Pelodiscus sinensis: one gene and its partners. The protein of the gene in region 2 purifies or fractionates together with the protein of the main gene of each other region. This does not show direct contact. Links are inferred from orthologs where the notes say so. Each region holds a gene or a part of one and is shown on either strand. Other genes may lie near its edges.

The links.
Region 1: the proteins of DDX6 (region 2) and MCRIP2 purify together in Homo sapiens (co-immunoprecipitation; 5 studies listed by BioGRID and IntAct, with this or other methods). This does not show direct contact. The link is inferred for Pelodiscus sinensis from reciprocal best matches to the Homo sapiens genes DDX6 and MCRIP2.
Region 3: the proteins of DDX6 (region 2) and MCRIP1 purify together in Homo sapiens (affinity purification with mass spectrometry; 3 studies listed by BioGRID and IntAct, with this or other methods). This does not show direct contact. The link is inferred for Pelodiscus sinensis from reciprocal best matches to the Homo sapiens genes DDX6 and MCRIP1.
Region 4: the proteins of DDX6 (region 2) and PABPC4 purify together in Homo sapiens (affinity purification with mass spectrometry; 3 studies listed by BioGRID and IntAct, with this or other methods). This does not show direct contact. The link is inferred for Pelodiscus sinensis from reciprocal best matches to the Homo sapiens genes DDX6 and PABPC4.

Annotation. Positions count from the first base shown.
Region 1 is NC_134726.1:2,083,960-2,091,829, forward strand, and holds the start of MCRIP2 (MAPK regulated corepressor interacting protein 2), read right to left. Parts: upstream 3,008-7,870; 5' UTR 2,815-3,007; coding exon 2,760-2,814; intron 2,593-2,759; coding exon 2,514-2,592; intron 1-2,513.
Region 2 is NC_134736.1:596,839-604,580, forward strand, and holds the start of DDX6 (putative ATP-dependent RNA helicase DDX6), read left to right. Parts: upstream 1-4,734; 5' UTR 4,735-4,874; exon of another isoform or gene 4,875-4,933; intron 4,934-4,947; exon of another isoform or gene 4,948-5,171; intron 5,172-5,663; exon of another isoform or gene 5,664-5,809; intron 5,810-7,742.
Region 3 is NC_134730.1:29,673,027-29,680,039, forward strand, and holds the start of MCRIP1 (mapk-regulated corepressor-interacting protein 1), read right to left. Parts: upstream 3,002-7,013; 5' UTR 2,967-3,001; intron 2,887-2,966; exon of another isoform or gene 2,734-2,886; intron 875-2,733; exon of another isoform or gene 711-874; intron 263-710; 5' UTR 190-262; coding exon 182-189; intron 1-181. UniProt on the Homo sapiens protein: The phosphorylation status of MCRIP1 functions as a molecular switch to regulate epithelial-mesenchymal transition. Unphosphorylated MCRIP1 binds to and inhibits the transcriptional corepressor CTBP(s).
Region 4 is NC_134735.1:2,618,768-2,626,743, forward strand, and holds the start of PABPC4 (polyadenylate-binding protein 4), read left to right. Parts: upstream 1-4,964; 5' UTR 4,965-5,757; coding exon 5,758-5,950; intron 5,951-7,976.

The DNA of each region.
Region 1 (7,870 bases), on a different chromosome or scaffold from region 2:
CCGCGCTCAGCCGCAAAGGGCTGTCTTAGTGCGTTTTGCTGCATGGACTTTTGAGTGATCGGAGGGGGGAGTCCCTGCTGGAAGGGCCTGGGAAGAAGGGGCTCGGGGGAGGGGTCCGACCGGTGACAGGGAGGCCACGCAGCAAACAGGCTGGGAAGCTCTAAACAAACTTTCATCCCAGCTGTAGGCACCATTTCCTGCTGGTCATTTCCTGCCTGGTAGGGTTCGGGGTAGAGCCCTACCCCTCTACTGCTACCCCCAGCTCAGTTTTTGCAGAAATGAATGTGGAGACACATTTTGTATCCAGAACCCTCCAGTCTGCAGCTGTCCACGGGTCCACGCAGATGTTAGAGCTGGTCCGCCACTTGCTTTTGGGGATACAGATGTTGTATCCAGGCAGGGCTCTAGACACGTGCAGCGTGGCATACATGAATGCACATGAGTGAGCCAGCAGGGGGCGCAAAGCAGCCCTGCCAGCCCAGCTGACATCCACGGAGCTGCACGTGGCTCTAGCCAGGTGGATCTGATGACATGGTGAGGGCGGGATTCCACTTTGCCCTTCGCTATGCTCCTGGAGTGGACAGCGGGCAGGTCAGGACGTGGGCAGGGACCGTGGCTTCAGCCCTCCGGCCCCTGCACCAGATCCAGCCTGGCTTTCTAGCTATGGGGTCTTAGTGCCACAGGCTGCTCTGATCTCCCCCCCCCTTCTCCCACCGGGCTGGGAAACGCAACCCTTCCTACTGCAGGCAGGGGCCTGGGTGGGCCAGGGGCTGTCCTAGCGCCCCTCCAATACCCCTGCCTTGGCTACTGCACGTCCGAGGGCTGGAGGCCTCCTTATCAGCAGGCCCACCGCCGGGTGCAATTCCTTAGTGTCAGGCTGTGCTATCTGGGAAAGAACAGGCCGGGGGGGGGAACCTGAGCCTGTAGTGGCTCATCTGAACCAGGCCACAAACAGTATTTGTTCCTCCCACACACACACACTGGAGAGCACAGAAGTTTGGGAAGAGCCCCCCCCGCAGCCTGGGATTGAGCCCTGGGTGACACTAGCCCCAGGTAAGTCAATGGGAGCTCTGCCGGGGGGGGGGGGGGGGGGGGGCGCGGGCCTTTCGCAAGGTCACAGCCACTTCGTTCCCGTGAATTGCCCTGGGTGGTGCACCGCAAAGGCCACGCTGCTGCCCCCCCGAGCGGAGCCGGCCCCACAGCTCCCGCCCTGTGCGCGCTGGCTCTGCCACTGATCTCCTGGGGCCAAGATCCCAGGCTCGCGCGGACACAGAAACACGGGGCTGTTCAGGGCCCTGACTGCCCACCTCCAGGCCCCAATAGCCCCGTGGGGGTTTGGCGCGGCAGGGGCCAGACGTTTGGGGCCCATGGCTCCTTCCCCGGGCCAGGGCAGCAGGAGACACTGGGTTCAGCAGATGCCCCCTGAGCAGCTGGCTCACCTTCGGGCATCCCTGCCTGTACTTTGGCACACCCTGCCCCTCCCGCCCCGGGGAGCGCGTGCGCCTGTACACTGGGGCAAAGGCTAATTCTGGGCGGTGGTGGGGGTGGGGGCCTCTGGCTGCCAGTGTGCCTGATGTGGCTGCAGAGCCATCCCGCCGCCCCAGGCCCTATGCTTTGGGGGCCCTGCAGCAGTGGCCTCAGCCAGCCTGTGGCCTAGAGACCAGGGCATTAGGGAGTCCTGGTGCAGTGGTAGCAGCAGGGGTCACCCCAAACAGGGCAGGAGCCGGAGCAACCTGCTCCCCACACCCGCTGTGCTGCCCTCTCCAGCCTGCGTTGGCAGGGAGCAGGGCACCCCACCCCCTGCATGGTAAGGGGGGAGGGGCAGGTCTTGGGGAGCGGCGTGGGGGAGGGTCTGCAGCAGGGGAAGGAGAAGTTTGCCCCCCAATGGCCCAGGCATGGGAGGTTTGCCCCAGCCCTGTGTCCCTCTCCCCTAGAATGGCCCTGGCTGGCTGGCACCCCTTGGCCCATCAGGTCCTCCCCCCCCCAGCTCAGTCCCTCTCCTCCAGGCCCCCCAGCTCTATGCAGTCACCCCAAATACTCTAACTCGCCCCCAGATCCGTGCACTGCCCCCCACGTGCTACAGGCCCTGTCCCCCCCCCCAGATCCGTGCACTGCCCCCCACGTGCTACAGGCCCTGTCCCCCCCCCAGATCCGTGCACTGCCCCCCACGTGCTCCAGGCCCCTGCCCCGCCCCCCAGCTCCGTGCACTGCCCCTCCCCCACCCCATGTGCTCCATGACCCCTGCCCCACCCCCCGGCTCCAGCACCCGGCCCCGGCTCCCTGTCCTGCCTGGGTCCCTCTGCCCGCCCGGCGAGGCAGCGATCGGGTCCGGGGTTGAGTCTCCTGTTGGCCTCCACCCCCTTCCCCGCCCCTCCGCCTGCTCCCGAGCCATGTGGCAAGGACAAGCCGGGTAACCTCTGCCCAAGGTCACCCCTCCCCCGCCGCCGGGTCCCCGGGCTGGAGCCGGAGCCGGGCGCGCGGGGGGCCCGGTGCCCCGGCCCACGACCGCTCACCTCGAGGGGGACCAGGCGCTGGGCGGCGGCTGCCGGCCCTTCAGCTCCGCCGCCTTGTTCTCCACCTGCTGCGTGGGACCTGCGGGCACAGAGCGGGTCAGGCTGCGGCGCCCCCTCTCCCCGGCGCCCCGCAGCCGCCAGGGCGCGCAGCCGAGCCGGGGGCCCCAGGCGCAGAGCCGGGGGGCGCGGGCCCCGCAGGGCAAGAACCGGGGCGCAGCCCCCCGCCCGAGAAGCAGCCGGCCCCACCTGTCCGCCTCTGCGTGGCGAGCTTGCTAGGTCCCTTGGCGAGCGTGTACATCATGCGCCCGCGGCTCCAGCTGCGCCTGGCAGGGCTGCAGCCCGGCCCCGACCGACCGACCGACCGGCCCCGCCGCCTGTTGCAAAACTCCGCGAGCCGCCCGCGCCTCTGGCTGGGGGCAGCGGCGCCTCCCCGCTCCGGGCCCCGGGAGCAGCGGCGCGGCTGCAACACGCCCCCCGAGCCTCTTAAAGGCGCAGACGGCGCCTCCGCCTCCTGCCCGGCCCGCAGCGCCGCGGGCTCCCGGGGCGGGGAGTCGGGCCGCCCGCCCCCTGCTCCCTCGGCGTGTGCCGGGCCAGGAAGGCAGGTAACCGCTACGATCTCGGCTCGGCCCCGTGGGGCAGGACCACAGCGCCCGGCCGGGCCTGGGGAGACACGGCAAGCGCCCGGCAGCGACAGCCAGCTGGAGCGAGCCGGCCTGTGGCGACCCCCGGGCCAGAGCAGCCCCTGCCCGGGAAGCCTCCCCCGCTAGGGAGGGGTTAACCCCTTAACCTTGTAGCTCCCTAGGCGGGAAATTGGTCAACAATAGCCGCCGGCACAGAAACCTGCCACCCCCAAGGTGTCTGCAAGGCAGGCCCAGGCCCAGGCTGGACCGCTGGGGATGTGCCCTGGATGTGGGCCGGGAGGTCCCTTGTCAGGGCTGGCCACAAAGTGTCCTCGGGTCAGCGCCTGCAGGTTGTGACGTGCCGGGGGCTTGTCTCTGACCCAGCGCCTTGGTGTGTTGCAAGTTGCACAGGTCAGTTGGGGGCTGGGATCAGCCCTGTGCCCCCCAGCCCCCACCCCAAAACCAGCGGCTGCTTTTGATAGGACGTGTCTGTGCTGCGTGCCAGGGCCCGAGCGGTTCAGCGGGGAGGACACAGGATTTCCCCAAGGAGAATCCAGGTGCCCCCCTCCCCCCCGCGAGGATTCCAATCAGGACAGCTGCCCACCCCGGTGGTCCCCTTCCCGTTTCCCTGCAGTTCTTTTGGCGTCGTCCAGCCCGCTGCACTAATCCAGCCGCAGGAGCCAACACGTGCTCGCAAGGCCCCACTGTCAGCAGAGTGGCCTCTCAGCCCCCCAAGGGTTAAACAGCCGGTTCCTCGGGGCTCCGTAAGTCTCTCCTGGGACGGAGAAAGGGCAGCACCAGGACAGGTGCCCAGCAGTGCAGGTTACACACAGGACACCTCACTCCCGTTTCTGGAGGGGTCTCCTGGAATAGGGATGCAAGCGACCAGTCGACGGTGCAATCAGCAAAGGGTTATCTGACAGTCGAGACTCTGGTCGACTAGGCCAGGGCTACTCAACACGTGGTGCGGTTTGGGTTTACGTGGGGCTCAACACGCGGCCTGCGGGTGGGATCCTTTGAACATGGCCTCCACTGGGAACACGCTCCACAACGAGACGTCTCACAGGTGGGCCGAGCATCGAAAGACACCCGGGGACGAGCTGGCTGGGACAGACGGGTATGGGGTGTCGGCGTTTCTAGCCCCCAGAGAGGAGGTGCCGGGAGCGCCGAGGCATTGTGGGTACACAGGGCTCCCCGAAAGAGCACGTTTGCTCTTCCGCAAGAAAAAGCTGAAGAGCAAACGCGTTTCCTGGACATGCTCTTTCGGGGAGCCCCATGGACCTCGTGCTACAAGAAATGAGGGCTCTCCGAAAGAGGAGGCCTTTCCGTCTGACAGGGCCAAATGGCAGAAAAGCCTCTTCTGGAAAAGCAATCCGAAAAAGCCACACAATTGTGGAGTGCAATTTGCGTAGCTTTTTCTGAAAAAAGGCCAGTGGTCACCAAGCAGTTGATCAGGATCTACCAGTAGATCTTGGAGCCTCTGACGGGGGATCCTGACGGGTTTGGCCAAGAGGCTGTCAAGTGCCAGCTCTTCAGCTGCTCCTCCCCACGCTGCTGCACATCTCCTGCCCTTTGCCGTGGAGCTGTGCCCCCACTCTCCCTCCTGCTGCCTGGGCAGGGCAGGGAAAGCAGAGGAGGGGGGCAGATGTCAGGATGCCCCATCTTCCACCCTATAGTCTATCTCCACAGAAAAGGTGGGGACACAACAGGGCTTGGAATGGGGGGAGTTTTCTGGCTGCTTTTGAGAGTGGTGCAGGGCCAAGGCAGGGGTGATCCTGCCCCATTCCCATTGCTCCACCACCCAGGAGCCACCTGAGGTGAGCAGTGTCTATCTGGAGCCTGCTCCAAACCCATGCCCCAGTCATGAACCCCCCTCCTGCACCCCAAATGCCTGCCTGAGCCCCCAGACCCAAATTCCTTTATGGAGCTTGTACCCTGAACACTCCCCCCTCTGACACCCCAACTCCCTGCCCCAGGCTCAGCTCAGAGCCCCCCTCACACTCCAAATCCCTTAGCCCAAGACCAGAGCCTCAACCCTCTGCCCCTTCCTGATGAAAGGGAGGGAGAATGTGGAAGGGAGGACCGAGTGAGCAGGGTCAGGACCTTGGAGAAGGGGCGGGAAGGAAGTGGGGCCGGGGTATTCGGTTTGAGGTAGATCTTACATTGCACTGAAATTGAAAAAGTGATCTTGTGCTTAAAAAGGTAGGAGACCCCTGGTGTAGACCTAGCCAAAAAGGCAGCAAGGAGGGAGAAAAGGAGGAGAGGCCGGGGGGAGCCAGCTTAAAAGCCTGCTGGGGCTCTTGTGCATTTCAAAGGCGGAAAGCGGAAGTTCTTATCGACTAATCAAATCGTTTATGGAAACCCCATTGAAGATTTGATTAGTTAATTAATCAAAATTTAACATCCCTACCCTGGAATGGGAGACCGTCTCTGCTGGGTTGGCCAGATGTTTGAGAGACAGAATGTAAATAGGGGACAGTCACAAAAAATCCAGCCCCCAGCGGGTTTATGTATGTGCATGTTTATCTATTTCTTTCTGCCGTTTTTCTGCATTCATCTAAAATGTCAGCTCTCAGTAATAAACCTTATGTGGGGCCGTGCACGATACAGCCCACAGGGTGCCTCCACGTGAGGGGTGCAGGGGAGCACAAGACCCCGAACACAAATATATTCTGGGAGGCAGCACATGTACTGCAAGCCCCCCGCATCCCGTGGAGAGCCACTGGGCTTCCCCCAACGCTCATGGGAAGAACAAAGGGATCAGCGGGTCCCCATGGCACCCTACTTCTGGGCTGTGTGACACTGGGAAGGGGCCACGTTCGGATCAGGTCACAGCCAAGCCAACGTACCATCTGGGGTCAACCCACTGCAGAGCCCAGGGCCTCTTCCATGGTATTTGCAGGGAAGGGTCGCAGGTTTCTGGCCCGCCTGGAGACGGCCGTCATTCACTGGCCCACGGCACAGGCACGCAGGAGGTGAAAGCAGCCTGTGTCCACACACAGAGCGTTTCCTGCCCTCAGCCAGCCGGCTTAGAAAAGGCAGTCGGTTTGCATGCACTGCACAGTTAACCTGGGGGAGTTGCTTCCTTTTCCAGGCCAAGGGCCTAGTGGAAAAGTGCATGGTAAACACCAGGTTCCTTCCAGCTCCCAGCTGAGCGAAATAATCCAAAGAAGGACTTTACCATTCTGTGTTTACACAGCAGGATTCTGCTGCTAGCGCCTGCAGGAAGACTAGAAACCACCAGTGAAATTCAGTCCAAGCTGGAGTAACAACTAGCAGAGCCAGTATTAGTGCTCCAAACTCCTGAGAGGAGGCAGAGATTAGCAGCCATAATACCCTACTCTTCCCTTTTTAAAGGTGAGCCGAATCCTTATTTTAGATATGGGGAAACTAAGGCATAGTGAGTTGCCCAAGGTCACACAGTGGAATCAGTGGCAGAGCTGGGAAACAGTTCTCCTAAACTCCCACACTCCTTGTTCTAAGCACTAGATGATGTCTCCCCTGTCCCACTGCTGGAAAAGGCTCCCAAGGGCACACAAGGTCCCCACACGCCCCAGGCCAGACCCAGTCAAAAGGCTGTTTCCAGTTCAGCCTTGACCAGACAATGAGGCCTGCCCTTGCCTCGCAGGACATCCAGCTTTAGGCATGACCTGGCCTAGCCACTGCTCCTGAGAAGGGGTGGTGGTGTGTGGAACAAAGTGGCCCACATCCCTAGCCAGGCTGGGCGGGCCAAAGGGGAAGCCACGTCCTCTCTCAGCTAGCCAGCATCACGGACAGCACACGAGTACGTGCTCCGGCCTTGGTCTCCCACGAGACCTTGTGTGGGAGGTGTAGTGGGAGATGCTGGGAGGCACAGTGGGAGGTGCTGGGAGGCGCAGCTGGAGGCACAGTGGGAGGTGCTGGGAGGCGCAGCTGGAGGCACAGTGGGAGATGTTGGGAGGCACAGCTGGACGCACAGTGGGAGATGTTGGGAGGCACAGTGGGAGATGCTGGGAGGCACAGCTGGAGGCACAGTGGGAGATGTTGGGAGGCACAGCTGGACACACAGTGGGAGATGTTGGGAGGCACAGTGGGAGGTGCTGGGAGGCGCAGCTGGGGGCACAGTGGGAGATGTTGGGAGGCACAGTGGGAGATGCTGGGAGGCACAGCTGGAGGCACAGTGGGAGATGTTGGGAGGCACAGCTGGACGCACAGTGGGAGATGTTGGGAGGCACAGTGGGAGGTGCTGGGAGGCGCAGCTGGGGGCACAGTGGGAGGTGCTGGGAGGCACAGCTGGATGCACAGCGGGAGGTGCTGGGAGGCACAGCTGGAGGCACAGTGGGAGATGTTGGGAGGCACAGCTGGAGGCACAGTGGGAGATGTTGGGAGGCACAGCTGGACGCACAGTGGGAGATGTTGGGAGGCACAGTGGGAGGTGCTGGGAGGCGCAGCTGGGGGCACAGTGGGAGGTGCTGGGAGGCACAGCTGGATGCACAGTGGGAGGTGCTGGGAGGCGTAGCTGGATGCACAGTGGGAGATGTTGGGAGGCGTAGCTGGATGCACAGTGGGAGATGTTGGGAGGCGTAGCTGGATGCACAGTGGGAGATGTTGGGAGGCACAGCTGGATGCACAGTGGGAGGTGCTGGGAGGCGTAGCTGGATGCACAGTGGGAGATGTTGGGAGGCACAGCTGGATGCACAGTGGGAGGTGCTGGGAGGCACAGCTGGAGGCACAGTGGGAGGTGCTGGGAGGCGCAGC
Region 2 (7,742 bases):
TGCACCTATATTAGTCATTAGTACACGAAACTGAGAATGGGAGCCCTGCCACTGTCAGCATGGATAAATGGAAGTTATACTGTACTAATGGGGAACAGCATGTTGCAAACCTAAAAAGTATGAAAAATTGTGGACTGTATGAAGTACAGGTTGGACCTCTCTAGCCTGGAACCCTAGGGACCTGACTGGTGCCAAACCAAAGAATTAGCCAGATCACAGGAGGTAAATATTGTCTAGCAGCATTATCAAAACTTCCACCGCTTACTGGGCTCTTAGAAGATATTTAGGGGTAAATAATAGCACAGAACACTTAGCCAGGACTGGTGGCTGTAAACTTTGAGACTGTGGGAAACTTGATAACACCCATGATAACATCTAGTTAACATGGATGTTGCCGGATCAGAGAGTGCTGGACTAGAGATACTCAACCTGTAAGCTAATTAAAATAAAAATTGCAGTGGAAGCCTAAAATTGTGAAATCCCCAAATCATAAATTAAGTAGATAATAAATTCAGTGTATTTTTGATACCATATACATTACAAATGGAAACTCCCAAGTGCTATTTAGTCAGTTTTTCCATTTTGCCTTTGAGAGTATAGACTGTGACTTGTAACACCTGTAAATATTAATAAGCTCTTCACATTGTAAGAATTCTAATTGAGATATCATGATATCATGAACTGCACATTTAAAAGATAACTGAAACAGCAACTTTATTTCAATAAGAACAAAAAGTCTGTTTATTCTAAATCCCAGTATTTGGGCTCCACATCAACTTAGAAAACCTATACATTTAGAAAAAGACTCCATTACAGTTTTGGAAATTAGAGTGATGGTGGCCAGAGAGGGAAATGTAGTTCTGGTGAACAGAGTTGGATTAATGGTCTGACCAGTCCGTTCCTCTTTTTTATCTGCTAGGAACGGGAGCCTATATAGGAAGATCCCAGGTGGCTGTACCTCTGGCATACACCAGAGATTATCATTACATCTTCATTTACTTCCTCAAAAGAACTTCATTTACTTCCTCCAGGGCTATGTCTACACTCGCGGCTTCTTGCGTGAGAAATATGCAAATGAGGCTGTGTGGAATATCCCCGAGCCTCATTTGCATACCTAATAAGCCACCAATTTTGCAGGAGAGGCTCTTGCACCACAAGGAGCTGTCTACACTGCCCCTTCTTGTGCTAGAAAAACCCTCTTGGCAGCAGTGTGGGGGGAGGCGGAAGCTACCTCTCCCCCCACAAGTAACTGTTGAAACTTTCACCTGTTACATTTTACTTAAATAAACACATTTTAACATCCCTACTGCACTAATAAATTATACCTAGTGTGGGAATATGTTAACAATATCCAGAGAGAGGGTAATGCCCTCCAAGGCAAGAAAATCAATTCTCCTTGCCCTTTGGTGTCAGAATAATAGAAAGAGATCCTAAAAGTTTTCTCCAGCACATCACTGGTATAGAACTGCAAGGTCCAACAGCACCTACTGAACTTATGCTGGAGGTTCACCCTTAACAAAACTCTATGGGTGAAAATTTCAGATACAGTAAACCAGTGGTCTCCAACCTTTTTACCCCCCAAGATCACTTTTTAAATGTCAGAACAAGCCAAGATCTACCGCCCCATCCTTCTCCCAAGACCCCCACCCCTTCCTTAAAGCCCCGCCCTCTCTGTTCTCCTCTCCATCACTTGCTATCCCCAGCCCTTATACACACTCAGGGTATGGCTACACTGCTGCTTTGTTTTTTTAAATTCTTCTGTATGAAGAGGTTTTTCCAACATTTTGCTATCTAGATTGGGCCAAATATCCTTGTGGAATGAGGAATAAAGGGGTTACCGAAAGAGCATGGTTGCTCTTCCACTAAAAAAAGTGGAAGAACAAATGCGTCCCCGGATGCGGAAGAGTTTTTTCCGGGATACCTCTGGAGTCCCAGAAAAACTCCGGCAGTCTAGCTGTACCCTCACTGGGTTGACAGGATGTGTGGGCTCTAGGGTGGGAATGAGGGATTTGGGTGTGGGAAGGGGTGAGACGTGCAAGCTCTGGGAGGTAATTTATATGCAGGAGGAGGTGGAGATGGGGATGCTGGCTCCAGGTTGGGAAGTTTTTGGGTCAGGTGGATGGTTGGGGTACTGAGCTAGCCATAGGCTTGTGGATGTGAGGGTACAGGAGTTTGGGTTGAGGTATGTGAGGGGCTCAGGGCAGGGAGGTTGGGAGTATGATGGCACCAGGACACAGATTTGCAGTGTGTGGATGGTGCAGAAGTGTCGTGGCGGAAGACTGAGGATGTGGGGGTGCAGGAGTTTGGGGATGTGAGAGGCTCAGGACAGGGAGCTCCAGTATATGATAGGCTCAGATCTAGGGTCTGGGGTGGGGTGGAGGTGCAGGAGTGTTATGATGCTGTGGCCAAATGGGGGCTTGGCCACAATTGGAGGGTTGTTGGCCAGGCTTCATTTTTAAATAAAATATTATGTCAAACACAAAAAAGTTTCAGCATTGTCTTTATTTATGAGAAGGGCAGGGAACCTGTTTTGAGTCAGGGATCAGTGACCCACAGAAAAGTCAGTTGGGGCCACAAGTGAGATGCAAAAAAAAAATTCCTCCAAAACCCTCCCCAAGCCTCACTAATATGGCTCCAACTGTGCTGGTGGGAGCAGGGGACATGGTACTGGGGAAAGGTGCTAGTGGGTGCTGAGGCAGAGTGCCAGTGGGGGCAGGGAGTCTGCGACACATGCCTCCCCCTGGGACTCCTATCCCCTCTCCCCCTGCCCGGTGCACCTCCTCTGGGAATGGACTCCTACCCCCCACCCCCCAGAAGAGGAGGGAAGCTCCAGCAGGCGCCTCCTCCCAGGACTCCTCCCCACTCCTACAGAGGAGGAAAGCTCCGGCGCGTGCCTCCTCTGGGGACTCCTCCCCCTCAAAGAGGAGGGAAGCCCCGGCATGCACCTCCTCTGGGGATTTCCCCCCAGCAAGTCCTTGGCACACCACAGACCTGGGTTGTGGTGCCACGCCGGCTGTTTGGGGGAGAGGGAGCAGCCAGCGCACTTCCTGAAATCCTGAAGTGGCGCACAGCTGCTGGACTTCCTTCCACCCCACAGGAAGCCGGAACTACCTCCATTGTTACTAGAGGAAGGTAGTGGGGCTTCTTGGGGGTGGAGTGAAATGGGGGGCCCCCCTGAACGCCTTGTGATCAACTGGTTGAGCCCTCCCAATTGACCAGTCAATTGCGATTGACGGGTTGGTGACCACAGAAGTACGCAGTGCCAGTCTTTGACGAAATGGCACCCCAAACAAGGGATGTCTTTAGTGCCCCTTTCCAATCGTTAAACTTTTTTTTTTTGCATTTGTACCCCACTTCACAACTTCGGAGCATGGGTGGCACGTGTGCTTTATTGGTCATATAAGGTTGACTGGCAATGCCCTGCCCCTTATATACACCCATAAGGGCATGTCTGACAACTTCTAGGAGGTTTGAGGAAAATGCAGTTATCAGAAAGTCTGGAAGGTTAAAACAAGATTCTACAAAAGATCCAGAACATTCTAGGAGGTTAGTAAAAAAAATGAATCCACATACAGAGTACCTGTGTTTAGCATTCTATTTTCCCTTTTGCAACTAACAACAAAAAAAAGCACCCGGCCCCCCTGGAAGTTACCTAGGTCACCTGATTCTAAATTAAGCCCTGACTGTACTTACAAACTTGCTTTTCCTGTATTCCCTGCTGTCTTCAGAAGCTTCTTCTGGGGCCCTGTCATGCAAAATTAAAAATCGTTTGACTGTTAAATTGTTTGGTACTTTATTAATGATGCGAGGGTATCTTAGTAAATAATGGTTTAAAAGGAACAGTGCAGCTAAATAATTAACAAAATACTATTTGGTTAAGTGAGAGAGCATAAAAGGAAGGCATGGAGAAAATGTTTCCCTTGAGCAGAACAGCTAAGTGCTAACCCATGTAAGAATAAATACAGATATGAGAGAGATGGACATACAAATTTGAGTATAAAGGATAATTACTTCGGGAATATATTCAAGCTTTTGTCTACTAAATTACCATTTTCTATTATGCAGATGTGTGTTGTTAAAAAACTCAATTTTCTTTTTAAAATAATCTGATTTAAAACTTTTTTTCATTCACCTTCAACTGTTTCCATATTATTTTTTGCCATTGATGTTCAATATTTTTTCCAGCAGAGATTTAATACAGTGTTATATTATGAGGGCAGCAAAACTTGAAATATCATTTGTAAAACCTATTTGCCGCCACAACTGTTCGTTTGTAATGAAGAACAGAAAGAGCACGCTGTCAGCTCCTCCTCGCGTGCTGGCTGAGACTCCGTAAATTACTAAGTCGAAGGGTTGTTCAGAAAGTTATTCCCGGCAGTCGCTAATTTTGACACTTTCCTCCCGGGGGAGGGGAACAACCCCTGCGTGTCCAGTCGGCACCGTCTCACCCAGGGTCCCTAGACGAGGCTCGAGTCTCTCTCGGGACCGACTTTGCTGTGAGCGTCGCAGGGCCGCGGGCAGCGCCTGGCTCTGCACGGTCCCGGCCTGAGGCGGGCGTTCAGCCGCTCACGGGAGCCGGGGCCACGGCGCGAGCTGCGCCTCAGTTAGACGGAGCCCACGAGGGAGCCGCGCGCGCAGCCGGGGGGAAGCGGAGGGCGGGAGGCCGCGAAGCGCGCGGCAGCTTCTGTGACGCGGAGGGAGGAGGCGGTGCTGGGGGCCCCTGTAGAAGAAGCGGGCGGCGAAGAGCGCGGCAGGGAAACGGCCGCGGCTGAGCGGAGGCGGGTCGAGCCCTGCGGCAGCCCCCTCCCTTCCGCCTGACCAGGCGGGCATGGCCGGCCGGCGCTGCGGCTCCTCGCGGGAGCGGCTGAGTGCAGGTGACGGCGGGGGCGGGGTGACGGCGCGAGGCGTCCCGGCGGCTCGCAGCAGCGCTGAGGTAACGGGGGGCGGGGCCTGGCCGCGGCCCGGCCGGGAGGGGGAGGGCGCACGGGAGGAAGAAGGAAGCCGCCATCTTGGAGCGTCGAATCGCCATAACAAGGCACCAAGCGGGCAAGTGAGCGGTTCCTTAGCGCTGGGAGAGCGGGCAGCCCAGCCGGCGGCGGGGAGCAGGCTCCCGAGGAGCGGCTTTGGGGACAGGGCATGGGGCCGCGCGGGCCTGGGCGGCCGCTTCTTTGGTGAGGCCTGCGGCCTTGCCCCGCACTAGGGGCTGGGCCTGGCCTTGCGGGCGGCCACTCGAGCCCGGAGGCGGCGGGGGGCGCAGTGCGGGGAGGGGTCTGGCGGGTCTCACCCCCCCCGCATGGAGACCGGTGTGTTCGCTGCCCCGGAGGGGCGTGTTACCCAGGGCGCGGGCGATCGCTGCTGCGGGGGGCGGCGCTGCGGTGTGTGCGGGGGTCATGTGGGGGGGAGGCTTGTATCTGGCAGCCTGACCTTGAGGGCGGGGGGGGGCGGCGCTGTTGTATCTTTTAGGGGCCCTGCCCGGGGGGCGGGTTGGGCGTCAGGGGAGCACCGCCCCCGCGGGGTCTGGGGCCCGAGCGGCCGGGGGTGTCTTTTGTTTGCCCGACGGATGGTGCCCGCTGATGTTGCGCAGATACATTTCTAGGGTTTATGGACGTTTGCTGTTAGGCCGGGCGCCCGCCTTTCGGAATCGCCCCCTTTCCTAAGCACTGCAGAAACTGCATCGGACTCACACCAAAGCTTGGTGGTGAAGCGCTGTCAGTCCCGGGCTGAGCCCCATGGCGAAGTGGGAGGGAAGCAATAAATGCTTAAGCTGCTGCGCTCCATTGTTTGGTTCGGAAAACGAGACCTTTTTCTGGTGTGTAGAAGGATGAGACTATGGCTGACATTTCTGAACTGATTGGAGCTTCAGTGAGGGCTTTTATGGTTAGAGGAGATGTAGGTCGGTTCTGGGGCAGCTCACCTCCGCCTACTAATGAGGTCTTTGCTAAGATGCAAGGGAGTAGTTTTTATAAACAACGAAAGAGTGATTCCTGGGATCTCTTAAAAAGTGTCCCCTCCCAGTCTTGTTTTTTCTTGTAGCGTTATGTGCTATCTTTAGGCAAAAATCAAAGCTCCCAGGGAAAAGGAGGATGTTCACTGCAGAAAGGGGAGTGGAAATAATATAGTTAGTGGCAGCGGCTTCCAGAGTCCTGCATACGTGGTCAAAATGAAGAAAGGAAATGCTTAGAAAAGGGGGAGGGGGAATGTTGAGGTTTGCTAGTAAAGAGCACTAATTTTTTAAGCTGTCCCTGAAGTTTTAGGTTTGTTCAGATTTATTAAATATTGTTTTACTCTATAACATAATCTAATGTTTTTCCTGTGAGTGTTAAGGAGTGCAAAGGCATGTTGTCAGGTAAAATAGCATGAAAGTAGGTTATTAAACAGAGCCTTAAAAAATTCAAAATTGAATTTACTTCTTGCTGTAACTCCCTGTTTATATGTTTGCTGCTTCTGGACTAGCTATATGTTTCAATTTTTTTTTTAGTAGTAACATAGAAGGGAAATGTCTAAATCCAAATAGTGTTTCTCTTGACTTCTTAAACATTCTAATACTTAAAGCATTTCATTAAAATGATTTTTGGATGTATAAGTGTCCCTGTAAATTAAAGGTACTTGAAAATGATCTGTGTCAAAATATTTCACCTCAAAAGGTGTGCCATGTAAAATGACTTGACAGATATTGGAGGAGGTATTTAAACATGGTTTTGTGCAGTTAGCAGTACTTCACATACTAATTTTAACGGTTTCCCTTCCATAGTCACTTGCTTTGTCTTTACTGTGAAATACAAGTAAAGGAACTGAGGGCTGATTTAAAAAAAAGACAACTTGGTTGTAAAACAATAGACATTGTCAGACTCAGAAGCAAGTTGTTGTACTTAAAACTACTTAGAATTGCTCTTGAAAGTGACTAGATAATGTCCCTTTAAGGAATGTTAGTATTTGAATTATATAGGTGATTTTTTTTTAACCTTGGTATGGACAAGGTATCAGGTAAACAACTTCTTTATAAGAGTTCAGTGATCAGCTAATGCCACCTTTTGTTTTGCATTTATTTTATACAGTGCAGTTCTTTGTAGTGGTGATACTGTAAGTCAAGCCTGTAAATCCTTTCCCCCTTCCTTGTGAGGGAGGTAGACTTGTTAGTAACAGTTCTAGGGTTACTTCACAGTAACTTATCTTGTAGTTGCACTTCAGTAATTTTCTATGAAGAGTACAAGTCATTGTGTTTAGCAAACAAAATATCAAACCATTATAATACTTTCCCAATATTGTCACTAAATTTTGAAGCTTCAGGGGGTAGCTGAGTTAGTCTGTACAGGGGGAAAAAAACACCAAGAAATGGTCTGTGGTAGCACTTTATAGACTAACAAAACATGTAGATGGTGGTATGAGCTTTCATGGGCACAGTCCACTTCTTCAGTCATCACTTCTCCACCCCGGTCATCTGAAGACGTGGTTTGTGCCCACGAAAGCTCATAATACCATCTACATGTTTTGTTAATCTATAAAATGCTACCAGACCATTTGATGTTTTTTTACTAAATTTTGAATTGGTTTTGTATGTACTTATTTTCTGAGGGCAACAGGCAGGCGTTTTAGTGAGGAAAACTTTTTTGAATTTATCTCAAGGTGTTAGCACAATTAAAACATTAAGAAGGGAGTCTCTAAGACTTGTCAGATTTGCTGTCTCAGATAAGAAAACTGAAGTATTGTAAGTAGTTGTTTACCTTTCTTGAATGAAATAAAAC
Region 3 (7,013 bases), on a different chromosome or scaffold from region 2:
AAACCGAGGCCAGGGACACCATTTCTATCCCCTGGCTAATAGCCGTTTTTTCTAGCCCCCGGCTAACAGTAAAGCTAGTACTGTTCATGCTGTGCCCAGCCCCAGGGTATCCCCCTTAAAAGGGAGTCCATGCCTCTCCCCTCCCCCACTCATCTACAGGGCCTGTGGAAAAGTGTCTCACCTGGTCATGGCTGCTTCCTTGCTCAGCCCCCTCTAGGCCTGCCTTCGGCAGCGCAGCCCCTTGGCAGACAGGAGATGGAAGCTGGAACAGAAAGTGAAAGGGGGCTGAGCGTGGGTGGAAGCCACTGTGTCTGCAGCCCCGCTAGCCATGCAGGCACCCCAAGCAGGCATCCCAAGCACAGCAGCAAGGCCTTGCGAGAGTCAGAGTGGCTGCATTCCCACCCCAGCAGCTGCGGCGCCCCTCCAGAAAGGAAGGAGAAGGATTTCGGATGGGAGCTCGTGCTACTTTAACCCATCAGTGCTCAGGGTGTGGGGCTAATGCCACCAGTGCGCTGATGTCGTACAACCCCCTCATGTGGGCACAGTTATACTGGTGCAAACGAGGGTACAGCCAGGGTCGCTATCCCCACCCACCAAAGGGAACAAGCCATGCCCAGACAAGGTAGCCCTGCCCCAGTATACCTATACTGGGAGAAGGCTTCACCCTTGGCTGACAGTGTATGTGCCACAGGCCTTGAGAGGCAGCAAACCTGGGGTCACCCTGAGAGGGGGAGCCTCGTCCAAGGTGATGCTGGAGTCTGCCAAGGAGGGGACCGAACAAAGGGCAGGTTGGGACGAAGCCCCGGATCAGCTTCCTGGCTCCCAAACCCGCTGGGCTGCTGGTCAACGGCCGCTGCTCAGGACCGTTCCATCCCTGCAGGCCATTGCATAGGAAATGGGGGGGAGGGCGGCAAAACCTGTGCTGCTGTGGGGCGGGGTGGTGCCTGCTGGGGAGCTGCACCCAGAGGTGCCCACAGACCAGGTCAGGCAGGCACGACTCTGGCACGCGCAGCCCGCTCCCGGTCACTGTGTGAGGGGACGGCTGAGAGCAGTAACCCCCCCAGCGGGGCAGTACCAGGGCCCAAGGGCAGTGCCAGGGCTGCTGGGGGGGCGGGTCAAGACGGTACCAGGGCGGCTGAGGGGGGGGCGGGTCAGGACGGTACCAGGGCGGCTGGGGAGGGGGGGACGGGTCAGGACGGTACCTGGGCTGCTGAGGGGGGGGGGGCGGGTCAGGACGGTACCAGGGCGGCTGGGAGGGGGGGGAGGGTAAGGACGGTACCAGGGCGGCTGCTGGGGGGGGGGAGGGTCAGGACGGTACCAGGGTGGCTGGGGGGGGGGGAGGGTCAGGACGGTACCAGGGCGGCTGGGGGAGGGGGGAGGGTCAGGACGGTACCAGGGCGGCTGCTGGGGGGGCGGGTCAGGACGGTACCAGGGCGGCTGAGGGAGGGGGGGTCAGGACGGTACCTGGGCTGCTGGGGGGGGGGGCGGGTCAGGACGGGACCAGGGCGGCTGGGGGGGGGAGGGTCAGGACGGGACCAGGGCGGCTGCTGGGGGGGGGAGGGTCAGGACGGTACCTGGGCTGCTGGGGGGGGGCGGGTCAGGACGGTACCAGGGCGGCTGGGGGGGGGGGAGGGTCAGGACGGTACCAGGGCTGCTGAGGGGGGGGCGGGTCAGGACGGTACCAGGGCGGCTGAGGGGGGGGGAGGGTCAGGACGGTACCAGGGCGGCTGAGGGAGGGGGGGTCAGGACGGTACCTGGGCTGCTGGGGGGGGGGGCGGGTCAGGACGGGACCAGGGCGGCTGGGGGGGGGGGAGGGTCAGGACGGTACCTGGGCTGCTGGGGGGGGGCGGGTCAGGACGGTACCAGGGCGGCTGGGGGGGGGAGGGTCAGGACGGTACCAGGGCTGCTGAGGGGGGGGCGGGTCAGGACGGTACCAGGGCGGCTGAGGGGGGGGGGGAGGGTCAGGACGGGACCAGGGCTGCTGAGGGGGGGGGCGGGTCAGGACGGGACCAGGGCGGCTGAGGGGGGGGAGGGTCAGGACGGGACCAGGGCGGCTGAGGGGGGGGGAGGGTCAGGACGGTACCAGCGCTGCTGGGGGGGTCGGGTCAGGACGGTACCAGGGCGGCTGAGGGGGGGGAGGGTCAGGACGGTACCAGGGTGGCTGAGAGGGGGGGAGGGTCAGGACGGTACCAGGGCAGCTGAGGGGGGGAGGAGGGTCAGGACGGGACCAGGGCGGCTGAGGGGGGGGGAGGGTCAGGACGGGACCAGGGCGGCTGAGGGGGGGGGAGGGTCAGGACGGGACCAGGGCGGCTGAGGGGGGGGGAGGGTCAGGACGGGACCAGGGCGGCTGAGGGGGGGGGCGGGTCAGGACGGGACCAGGGCGGCTGAGGGGGGGGGAGGGTCAGGACGGGACCAGGGCGGCTGAGGGGGGGGGCGGGTCAGGACGGTACCAGGGCGGCTGAGGGGGGGGGGGGGCTGCTGCTGTTCCTGGGGCTCCGGCCCCATCGTGGGGGGGGGGGGGGGGGGGCAGAGCTGTATCCCAGCGCCGGGCCCGTTGCCATGGCGACGCCGGGGCAGGGCCTGGCGGGGACCGAGCGGCCCGCAGGGAGGGGCGGGGCCGCGGGGGGGCAACCGTCGGGGGGGGCTGCGGCCCGCGGGGGGGGGCGGGGCCGTTGCCATGGCGACGCGGCACCAGGCCGCCCAGGCCCGGTCGGGGGTCCCGGCGACGCTCACCTGGGCCCGGCCGCTCCCGGCGCCGCTCGCCGCTGCCAGGCCGGGACGGAAGTGAGCGCATCGGCCGGGCCGCGCAGGCGCGTGGGGGTCACGGGGCCCCGGCAGAGCCCGCTCCCCGGAGCGCGCCGAGCGCCGAGCCCGGGTCGAGGGGCGGGGCTGTGGGGCCGCTTCGCGCGGCGGGCCCGGCCCCCCCCGGGTGTCGCTGCAGCCCGGGCCGCGCGGGCTCCCCTCACCCGCGGAGCTGCTGTCTCTGCGCTGTCCCCGGGCCCGGCGCCTCGCCTGGGCTGCTCCTCGGGCGCCTAGAAACAGCGGGACCCGCCCTGCGTCTGCACCGAGCGCTGGTGCCAGCTCGCTGGCTGCTCCCCGAGCCCCGCCGCCCGCCTGCCCCCTCCGGCCCAGCTCCCTGTCTGCCCGCAGGGCCAGCGCCAGGTGCCCCGGGGGGTGAACCGAACAGGGGATGATCAAGCGACCTCTCTCCTGCATCCATCTCCCCCTCTGACACAGGGCTGGGGGCACCACCCCTCACCCAGCCTGGCTAACAGCCATTATGGACCTAACCTCCTGAATGTATCTAGTTCTCTTTTAAACCCGGTTCTAGTCCTGCCTTCGCAGCCTCCTCAGGCGAGGAGTTCCACAGATTGACTCTGCGCTGTGTGAAGAAGAACTGCCTTGTATTTACTTTAAACCTGCTGCTCATTAGTTTCATTTGGTGGCCCCTAGTTCTTATATTATGGGAACAAGTCAATAGCTTTTCCTTATTCACTTTCTCCACACCACTCATGATTTTATAGATCTCTCTCATATCCCCCCTTCGTCTCCTCTTTTCCAAGCTGAAAAGTCCCAGTCTCTTTAATCTCTCCTCATATGGGACCCGTTCCAAATCCCTCATCATTTTAGTTGCCCTTCTCTGATCCTTTCTAATGCCAGTATATATTTTTGAGATGAGATCACATCTGTACGCAGTATTCAAGATGTGGGTGCACCATGGATTTATATGAGGGTAATAAGATATTCTCCATCTTATTCTCTCTCCCTTTTTTAACGATTCCTAACATCCTGTTTGGTTTTTTGACTGCCACTGCACACTGCGTGGACATCTTCAGAGAACTATCCACGATGACTCTAAGATCTCTTTCCTGATTCATTGTAGCTAAATTAGCCCCCATCATATTATATGTATAGTTGGGGTTATTTTTTCCAATGTGCATTACACTTTACATTTATCCACATTAAATTTCATTTGCCATTTTGTTGCTCAGTCACTTAGTTTGGTGAGATCTTTCTGAAGTTCTTCACAGTCTGCTTTGGTCTTAACTACCCTGAGCAGTTTAGTGTCGTCTGCAAACTTTGCCACCTCACTGTTTACCCCTTTCTCCAGATATAAGTTGAATAGGATTGGTCCTAGGACTGACCCTTGGGGGATACCACTAGTTACCCCTCTCCATTCTGAAAATGTACCATTTATTCCTACCCTTTGTTTCCTGTCTTTTAACCAGTTCTCAGTCCATGAAAGGTTCTTCCCTCTTATCCCATGACAACTTAATTTATGTATGGCCCTTTGGTGAGGGACCTTGTCAAAGGCTTTCTGGAAATCTAAGTATACAATATCTACTGGCTCCCTCTTGTCCACGTTTGTTGACCCCTCCAAAGAACTCTAATAGATTAGTAAGACATGATTTCCCTTTATAGAAACCATGTTGACTTTTGCCCAACAAATTATGTTCTTCTATGTGTCTGACCATTTTATTCTTTGCTATTGTTTCAACTAATTTGCCTGGTACTGACGTTAGACTTACTTGTCTGTAATTGCCGGGATCACCTCTAGAGCCCTTTTCAAATATTGGCGTTACATTAGCTATCTTCCAGTCATTGGGTACAGAAGCTGATTTAAAGGACAGGTTACAAACCCTAGTTAATAGTTATGCAATTTCACATTTGAGGTCTTGGGTGAATGCCATCTGGTCCTGGTGACTTGTTACTGTTAAGTTTATCAATTAGTTCCAAAACCTCCTCTAATGACACTTCAATCTGGGACAAGTCCTCAGATTTGTCACCTACAAAGGACGGGTCAGGTTTGGGAATCTCCCTAACGTCCTCAGCCATGAAGACTGAAGCAAAGAATTCATTTCGTTTGTCCACAATGACTTTATCGTCTTTAAGTGCTCCTTTTGTATCTCGACCGTCCAGGGGCCCCAGTGGTTGTTTAGCCGGCTTCCTCTTCTGATGTACTTAAAACATTTTATTACCTTTGGAGCTTTTGGCTGGCTGTTCTTAAAACTCCTTTTTGGCTTTTCTTATTACATTTTTACACTTAATTTGGCAGTGTTTATGCGCCTTTCTATTTACCTAACTAGGATTTGACTCCACTTTTTAAAAGATGATGTCTTTTTATCTCTCACTGCTTCTTTTACATGGTTGTTAAGCATCAGTGGCTCTTTTTTAGTTTTTTTACTGGTTTTTAATTTGGGGTATACATTTAAGTTGGGCCTCTATTATGGTGGCTTTGAAAAGAGTCCATGCAGCTTGCAGGGATTTTACTTTAGTCACTGTACCTTTTAATTTCTGTTTAACTAACCTCCTCATTTTTGCATAGTTCCCCTTTTTTAAATGAAATGCCATAGTGTTGGGCTGTTGAGGTGTCCTTCCCACCACAGGAATGTTAAATGTTATTATATGATGGTCACTATTTCCAAGCGGTCCTGTTTTAGTTACCTCTTGGACCAGATCCTGCGCGCCACTCAGGACTAAATCAAGAATTGCCTCTCCCCTTGTAGGTTCCTGTACCAGCTGCTCCAAGAAGCAGTCATTTAAGGTATCAAGAAATTTTGTCTCTGCATTTCGTCCTGAGGTGACATGTACTCAGTCAATATGGGGATAGTTGAAATCCCCCACTATTATTGAGTTCCTTAGCCTCTCTAATCTCCCTTAGCATTTCATACTCACTATTACTGTCCTGGTCAGGTGGTCGATAATAAATCCCTACTGTTATATTCTTAGTAGAGCAGGGAATTACTATCCATAGCGATTCTATGGAATATGCTCCTGATGTGCTTAAAACAGTTGGGCTGTGTCTACACTGGCATGAATTTCCGGAAATGCTTAAAACGGAATACTATTCCGTTTTCAGTTTTTCAGGAAAAGGAGCATCTACGTTGGCAGGCTGCTTTTCCGGAAAAGCCCTTTTTCTGGAAAAGCGTCTGTGGCCAATGTAGATACGCTTTTCCGGAAAAGAGCCCCGATCACCATTTTCGCGATCGGGGCTTTTTTCCGGAAAAGACTACTGGGCTGTCTACACTGGCCCTTTTCCGGAACAGTGTTCCGGAATAAGGACTTATGCCCGAGCGGGAGCAGAATAGTTTTTCCGGAAAAGCGGCTGATTTTGTACAGTAGAGCGTCGTTGCTTTTCTGGAAATTCAAGGGCCAGTGTAGACAGCTCGCAGCTTATTCCGGAAAAGCAGCTGATTTTCTGGAATAAGTGGCCCAGTGTAGACACAGCCTTGTTGTGGTTAGGTTGTGTCCTTTGCTAGTTGCTCTTCAGATTCTTTCTGGGGCTGACCAATTACACTTGACTTATCAGCTTTTATGCTCCTTTCTATTTTTCTCAGGATTTGACAATCAGTTTTTCAAGAATTATTTTTTAAAAATCGAACTGCCTCCTGTTCTCTGTTTAGCCATGCTGGCATTGTGTTTGTCTTCTTACTTGCTTTTGTTGGGGGTAGATATTTTCTTTGAGCCTCTCAAGGTGTTCTCAAAAAGCCCTTTTCTATACAAGCATTTCACCCTTGTGACTGTTGCTGTTAGCTTACATGTAAGCAGTCCCGGCGTCTTTGTCTAGGTAAATGCTACCGTGGTGCATTTCTCTGACCGTTTGCTGAGTCCCCGGGATGTTTCATGTAATTACATTAGGGCAGTTCAGCTGTATTCTCTTGGACCAGAGCCTATGCATATAGGATTAAATCAAGAATGACCTTGCCCCTTGGGGGTTGTAGCACACACTGCCCCACAAGCAGTCATCTATGGGGTCTAGCAATGTGACTGGTGCACCCTTTCCTGTGGTGGCACATGCCAAGTCAGGGTGAGGCTCTTTGAAGTCCCCCACTATTATTGAGTGTTCTTCCTTTGTAGCTTCCCTAATGGCCCTGAGCATTTCACAAGCACCGTCTGTCTCTAGCAGCAGTAGCTTGCTCCTGTGGCAGTGCAGCCAGGCCTTTCTAGCCCCAGCTTAATTCATTCCAGGTGGTTGCAGCATGTGGCCCTTTGCTTTCTTCCAGAGACACCAC
Region 4 (7,976 bases), on a different chromosome or scaffold from region 2:
TCTTGATTCCTGTCCCCTTCATGGACTGAAGAGACACCTTCACCCCAGTGCTCCCGCGCACTGTGCAAGGGAGTGGATAAAAATCTCTCTCCGGTGCCCTTAAAAATCATCACTGCCTACTAACCCATATGCAGGGCTGGATTACCCAATAGGCAGACTAAGCACGTACTTAGGGCACCAGCAAAGCAGGGGCACACAAAAAAAAGAGAGATTTTACGGTATAGTATTATTTTTATTTTGAATTACATTTTGCGGGGGGGGGGGGGGACACCATACTCTTTTCAGTACTTAGGGCCTCTAAAGGTCTTAATCGGGCCCGGTCCATATGCATGTCCTCTCTCTGTACTCCCAACTGCCACGGAATCTTCTGGTGCCAACATTTCCCTCTCTTCACGGGCTAACGAGACAGCCACGCCTCCTGGCCACGAATATATCGCAGTGCCACTACAGACAGTCACATCTGCTCTTCTCATGCAGCGGCAACTGGCTTTTGGTATCACTTGAGTGAAGGGAGGATTGGTATGTGGGTGTTTATTTTGTTGCCAACCAACTGACAATGTTAGACTTGGGGGACAGGCTGTCCTTTGCCTAGTGGAGGCATGGGGGAAGGATACTGGTAGGAGTTTGCCCTAGAATTGGCAGGCAGAGTAGACCTGTCAGGACTTGGAGTGGGGATGGCCTGCCCTAAACAGTTGGAAGAAGGGCAAATATGGCCTAGTTAAAAGGAGCTGGCAGTATCTGGATGGGGTTTTGCAGGGGGAAAGTGAAAGCCAGAACCTTTGCCCATGGATTGTGTGTTTTGTAGGGGGAAGTGTCTCAGAACTGGTCAGGGGATTTGCCCCAGTTTGGTGTGGGGATGATGAATGAAAGTGGGTTTGCCCTTGGATGTTTGAAGTGGGAACGACAGGATGTGTTTATGGCATGGGTAGGGGGGAGCTTTTTTGGGCGAGGTGGTTCTGGGATTGTCAGGATTTTGGTGGGAAGTTGTCCGCTGACTGCAGGGGAAATCAGATGTTGGAAGAGGGTACATTGGCAGGATTTGTGGGGACAGGAGTGGGAATTGACCTCTGTTGTCTGGGAGGGGAGGTGTCAAGATTTGGGATTTGGCCCTGGACTGCTGGGAAAGGGAGGCGTCAGCATTTGGGGGTTGTTGGCAAGCAGTTCTTATAATTTGAGTGGGGTCTAGTCCCTGGATTCTCAGGGAGGCTCAGGATTTGAGTGTAGGTGTTGCCCCTGGATTGGGGGGGGGGGGAGGTGAGTGAGCGAGAGAGAGAGGATTTGAGGTAGGGTTTGCCAGATTTGTTAGGTTTCGGGGTGACTGCACGGATAGGTTACCTAGGATTGTTGGGGAGGGAGAATCCAAAATTTGGGGAGTAGGGTGGTGCTGACATGGGTTTGGGTATGAAGTTACCTCAGATTATTGGAGGAAAGGGTCAGGGTTGGGGGGCTACCCTGATATATATGTGTGTGTGTGTGTGATGTTTGGGGGGTCAAAATGGATTATGGGCAAGGAGGCCTTGCTTGTGGGAGTCCTATATATATGTAAAATTTGAGTGGAAGGGGTTGCCCTGGATTATTAGAGAGAGGGTCCTGATTTGGGGGGGGGCTGCCCAGATGTGGGTTATAGGGTATGAGATTACCCCTGGATTAGTGGAAGGGGTTCAGGAACTGGGAGGTTGCTCAGATGTGTTGGGGTTTAGGTGTGAGGTTACCCCCAGATTATTGGAGGGGTGGGTTATAATTTGGGAGGTGCCCAGATGTGTGGGGGTTTAGGTGTGAGGTTACCCCCAGATTACTGAAGGGGGGTTATAATTTGGGGGGTGCCCAGATGTGTGGGGGTTTAGGTGTGAGGTTACCCTCAGATTACTGGAGGGGGGTTATGATTTGGGGGGTGCCCAGATGTGTGGGGGTTTAGGTGTGAGGTTACCCCCAGATTACTGGAGGGGTGGGTTATGATTTGGGGGTGCCCAGATGTGTGGGGGTTTAGAGGTGAAGCTACCCCCAGATTACTGGAGGGGGTTATGATGTGGGGGTGCCCAGAGGGGTGGGGGTTTAGGTGTGAGGTTACCCCCAGATTACTGGAGGGGGGTTATGATTTGGGGGGTGCCCAGATGTGTGGGGGTTTAGGTGTGAGGTTACCCCCAGATTACTGGAGGGGTGGGTTATGATTTGGGGGTGCCCAGATGTGTGGGGGTTTAGAGGTGAAGCTACCCCCAGATTACTGGAGGGGGTTATGATATGGGGGTGCCCAGAGGGGTGGGGGCTTAGGTGTGAGGTTACCCCCAGATTACTGGAGGGGGGTTATGATTTGGGGGGTGCCCAGATGTGTGGGGGTTTAGGTGTGAGGTTACCCCCAGATTACTGGAGGGGTGGGTTATGATTTGGGGGTGCCCAGATGTGTGGGGGTTTAGAGGTGAAGTTACCCCCAGATTATTGGAGGGGGTTATGATGTGGGGGTGCCCAGAGGGGTGGGGGTTTAGGTGTGCTACCCCCAGATTACTGGAGGGGGTTATGATGTGGGGGTGCCCAGAGGGGTGGGGGTTTAGGTGTGCTACCCCCAGATTACTGGAGGGGGTTATGATGTGGGGGTGCCCAGAGGGGTGGGGGTTTAGGTGTGTTACCCCCAGATTACTGAAGGGGGGTTATGATTTTGGAGGTGCCCAGATGTATGGGGGTTTAGGTGTGCTACCCCCAGATTACTGGAGGGGGTTATGATGTGGGGGTGCCCAGAGGGGTGGGGGTTTAGGTGTGCTACCCCCAGATTACTGGAGGGGGGTTATGATGTGGGGGTGCCCAGAGGGGTGGGGGTTTAGGTGTGTTACCCCCAGATTACTGAAGGGGGGTTATGATTTTGGAGGTGCCCAGATGTATGGGGGTTTAGGTGTGCTACCCCCAGATTACTGGAGGGGGGTTATGATGTGGGGGTGCCCAGAGGGGTGGGGGTTTAGGTGTGTTACCCCCAGATTACTGGAGGGGGGTTATGATGTGGGGGTGCCCAGAGGGGTGGGGGTTTAGGTGTGTTACCCCCAGATTACTGGAGGGGGTTATGATGTGGGGGTGCCCAGAGGGGTGGGGGTTTAGGTGTGTTACCCCCAGATTACTGGAGGGGGGTTATGATGTGGGGGTGCCCAGAGGGGTGGGGGTTTAGGTGTGAGGTTACCCCCAGATTACTGGAGGGGGTTATGATGTGGGGGTGCCCAGAGGGGTGGGGGTTTAGGTGTGAGGTTACCCCCAGATTACTGGAGGGGGTTATGATGTGGGGGTGCCCAGAGGGGTGGGGGTTTAGGTGTGAGGTTACCCCCAGATTACTGGAGGGGGGTTATGATGTGGGGGTGCCCAGAGGGGTGGGGGTTTAGGTGTGTTACCCCCAGATTACTGGAGGGGGGTTATGATGTGGGGGTGCCCAGAGGGGTGGGGGTTTAGGGGTGAAGCTACCCCCAGATTACTGGAGGGGGGTTATGATGTGGGGGGTGCCCAGAGGGGTGGGGGTTTAGGTGTGTTACCCCCAGATTACTGGAGGGGGTTATGATGTGGGGGTGCCCAGAGGGGTGGGGGTTTAGGTGTGTTACCCCCAGATTACTGGAGGGGGGTTATGATGTGGGGGTGCCCAGAGGGGTGGGGGTTTAGGTGTGTTACCCCCAGATTACTGGAGGGGGTTATGATGTGGGGGTGCCCAGAGGGGTGGGGGTTTAGGTGTGTTACCCCCAGATTACTGGAGGGGGTTATGATGTGGGGGTGCCCAGAGGGGTGGGGGTTTAGGTGTGTTACCCCCAGATTACTGGAGGGGGGTTATGATGTGGGGGTGCCCAGAGGGGTGGGGGTTTAGGAGTGTTACCCCCAGATTACTGGAGGGGGTTATGATGTGGGGGTGCCCAGAGGGGTGGGGGTTTAGGTGTGTTACCCCCAGATTACTGGAGGGGGGTTATGATGTGGGGGTGCCCAGAGGGGTGGGGGTTTAGGTGTGTTACCCCCAGATTACTGGAGGGGGGTTATGATGTGGGGGTGCCCAGAGGGGTGGGGGTTTAGGGGCGAGGTTGCCCCCGGATCGCTGCAGGGGGTGCGCGCTGTGGGGGGCGGGGCGGCTCCTCCCCGCCAGGGGTCGCTGCAGCGGGCGGCCGGTCCCTGCGGCGCGGCGGCGGGTCGCTCCCCGCCGGCCCGTGTCCTCTCCGCGGCACGGCGGCCCTTTCACCCCGGGGAGGCTATAAAGGGGCGCCCCGGGCCGGGGGCCGCCTCTCGCCGCCAGGGCCGCGCGTGAGTCGGGCCCGCCCCGCCCGCCACAAAAACCCAAAAAAATCGCAAAAGCCCCGGAAACTCCCGCCAAGCGCCCCCCCCGGTCCGTCTGTCCGACCCCCCCTCGGTCCGTCCGTCTGTCTGTCTGACCCCCCCCCCCCTCGGTCCGTCCGTCTGTCTGTCTGACCCCCCCCCCCGGGTCCGTCCGTCTGACCCCCCCTCGGTCCGTCTGTCCGTCCGTCCGACCCCCCCCCTCGGTCCGTCCGTCTGTCTGTCTGACCCCCCCCCCCCTCGGTCCGTCCGTCTGTCTGTCTGACCCCCCCCCCTGGGTCCGTCCGTCTGACCCCCCCTCGGTCCGTCTGTCTGTCCGTCTGACCCCCCCCCCTCGGTCCGTCTGCCCCCCCCCCCCCCGCCTGTCTGTCCGCCTGCAGGCCCGGTGCTGTCCGTGTGTCCGTCCGACCCCCCCCCCCAGTCCGTGGGTCTGTCCTTCGGCTCCCCCCCCCCCGTCCGGTCCTTGGGCCCGCCCGTCTCTTCCCCCCCCCCCCCCCCCCACGGTCCGTGGGTCTGTCCAGGCCCCACGTTTCTGCCCCCGGCCCGGCTGCCCCTGGGGCCCCGCGCGGCGCTCCCCCCCCCCCCCCGTCTGTCTGTCTGTCTGTCTGCGCCCTCCTCAGGCTCCACGTGGGCCTCTGTCTCCCCCGTCGGTGCCTGCCTGCGCCACGGCGTGTCGTCCCCCCCCCCCCCTCCCCCCCCCCGGTCTCTCCTCGTCCGAGCAGCCGGGCTCTGCCTGATAGAAACAGCAGCGGGTCTCGTTTTCCTTTAAAAAAAGCTCTAACCCTAGTGCGAAGTTTGTCTTATTCCTCCCCCTCCTCCCCCCAAAAAAAGTTTTTACCTAAGGAAATAACACCGCGGTCTCAGGCCTTGGGTCTGGAGGCTTTGGAAGAAGAAATAATAATAATAATAATAATCTTTTTAAAAATAACTTTTTTTAACTGACCTGTTTTGCTTTTGGAAATTGAGGCAAGGTGGCAAAAACGCCACAGGCCGTGGAGGAGGAGGCTTTGGGTTTGTTTTTTGTTTGTTGGGTTTGGGCACCTTCCGTGTGGAAGTCTCACGTTTTTTGACTATTTCCCGGCACTTTCCCGTCCTGCTGCTTTCCCCTCTCCTCTCCCAGGGCCTCAGATAATCCAACACCCATTCTCCAATAATTCTGGCTCCCCTCCCAAATCCTCACGAGCTTTTCTTGCACTGAACTCCAATCTGCTTCTTTGACTTTCCAGACCCCTTAGAGTACCCTACTTTTCACCTGACTTCCCAGTGGCCTGGACTTCCTTCTGTGACTTAGTTTTTTCTGCCCTGAGGGTGATCCTCCCTCCCCCCTTCCCACCTGGTTTTCCCACTTTAACGTCTGCTAGTCCTAAATTAGTGATTTTTGTTATTTACCTGTTTAGTTTCTAAAACTTTTGCTTGTTTAAAAAAATTTAAAAAAAAATAAAATAGTTTCTGGTGGGAGTGCGTGCTGGGTGGAAGATGAATACAGCTGCTAGTAGCTACCCAATGGCATCATTGTATGTTGGCGATCTGCACCCTGATGTCACAGAGGCCATGTTATATGAGAAGTTCAGCCCTGCTGGGCCTGTACTCTCCATCCGAGTCTGCCGGGATATGATCACCCGTCGCTCCCTGGGATATGCCTATGTCAACTTCCAGCAGCCAGCTGATGGTAAGTTGGACACACATGCCCATGCCTCTTCCTTTTTTCTATACAGTTCTGCTGCTTTTTATAAATCCCCATCCAGTCACCTAGCTGTGAATTACAGTGGCGGGGTAAGAACTTCATGACAGCTCTGATTTGCTCCTCATTATGAAAGTAGAATGATTTTAACTACTTCACATCTTCAGAAGCCTTTTCAAACATTAAATAATCTTCACAGCACCTCTATGAAGCAGAGAAGTGATATTTCTCTTGGCCAAAATCAGCTTCCTGGGACTCACTTTTTCTGACTCAGAGGGGGTCTCTGTGTTTGTAACTTTAAAAATAAGGAGTAGTCCTGTAGCACTTTAGAGAGTAAGGATGTTAGAGTGTAACTGAGGAATGGTTTAGCCCATACTCTGATGCCTGTCAGTTAATGGTGTCAGTTACATTCAGGCACCCAGAGAGGTGGCGTCACTGTGGTGGGACAGTGATGCCTCCTCTCTGGGAGGTGGGTGGGCAGGGGCTGCCAGCTCTGCTCTCGTGGAGAGGAGGGGGGAGGCTTTGCTGTGGGTTCCCCTTGTGGGGGAGGACTTCCTGTAGTGTGTAACCGCTGAGATGTTCAACAGTTGCATGGTTACCTGTTTAACTGAATTTTAACATCCCTACTTTAAGCTTCATGCCTGGCTCTTTAGCCAGTCAGTCACTAAAGGAAGGTAAAGCCTAATCAGCATCTGGCCCGATCTGAGTCTGAATAACTGTAAAGGAGTCTTCCTACTCTCACCTGGAGACTTGAGGGTGTGTGCAATGGGCTGAGGATTGTAATGGCCAGAGATGTATCTACACTGTTATAAAACCCATGGGATCAAGATTCAGAGCCTGGATCCACAGACTGGAGTTCACGCTGCAGCGCTATGAACAACATTGTAGCTACTTAGGCGCAGGCCCTGAAGCCTTCCTTCCCTCCGTGCCGGAGTCCAAACATCTATGCTGCTGGTTTTACTGTTGTAGCACGAGAGCCCCTGTGTGTAGACCCCAGCTCTGAGATGCCTTCTCACAGATTTTAAAATGCAGTGTAGACTTGCGCTGGGGAAACAGCCAGGTGGCTGATCTAGTTTGCAGTTGGTTATGAAGTGGAAACACATGGACTGATGCTTTTTCTACCTTTTTTAAAAAAAGGAATACACACCCATCTCACTTGAAGCCTTAATGAGTGACATACAAAATTCATGGTGCCTTGCTTGGTTTAGCTGAAACAAAAAACAGGACTATGTAGCACTTTAAAGACTAACAAGATGGTTTATTAGGTGATGAGCTTTCGTGGGCCAGACCCACTTCTTCAGGTTTAGATGCTGTTCAGGTAGGTGTCCTTGGCCCGCAGCAGCAGATATTTGAGAAGGATGGGGCAGAGGAGATCAATTTTTAGTATGTCCTTATCCAGAGGAAAAGCTGGGTCAGCATTTTCTGTCCTAGTTCCCACAGTCTTGTATTAGACAGGGCTAAGTGTTGCCTGGTGCTGTGAGTTAGCAGCATCTTTACATGAGGTAAATTGCTAGAGGGGTTACATTTGCTGTAAAAAGGAGTGACTATTTAACTTTAATCCAGAAATAATTTGCAACAACACAAACTTCAGCTACATGTAAACTCTACTCATAGAATCTACTTTAGATTCAAGTTTAAGAATACAAATTGTAGTCTCATCAGTACACAAAGGAATATGTGGTCCTTGAATTTTGAGTTTTCTAATCTGTAGTAAATATTAGTTACTACTAAATTGATTCAGAGGGGGGTAGCTGAGTTAGTCTTTAAGATGTTACTAGAAGATTCGTTGTTTAAGTTTTTCCAGTTACAGATGAACAAAACATGTAGATGGTATCATGAGCTTCAGATGAAGAAGTGGGTTGTGCCCACGAAAGCTCATGATACCGTCTACGTGTTTTGTTCGTCTCCACGGTGTTGCCAGACTGTTTTTTAAATTTGTACATAATTGATGTATTCTTCTAAACCTATTCAGAAGCAGAACCTACTGGGCTGAATTCTTGTCTGGAATAGTGTA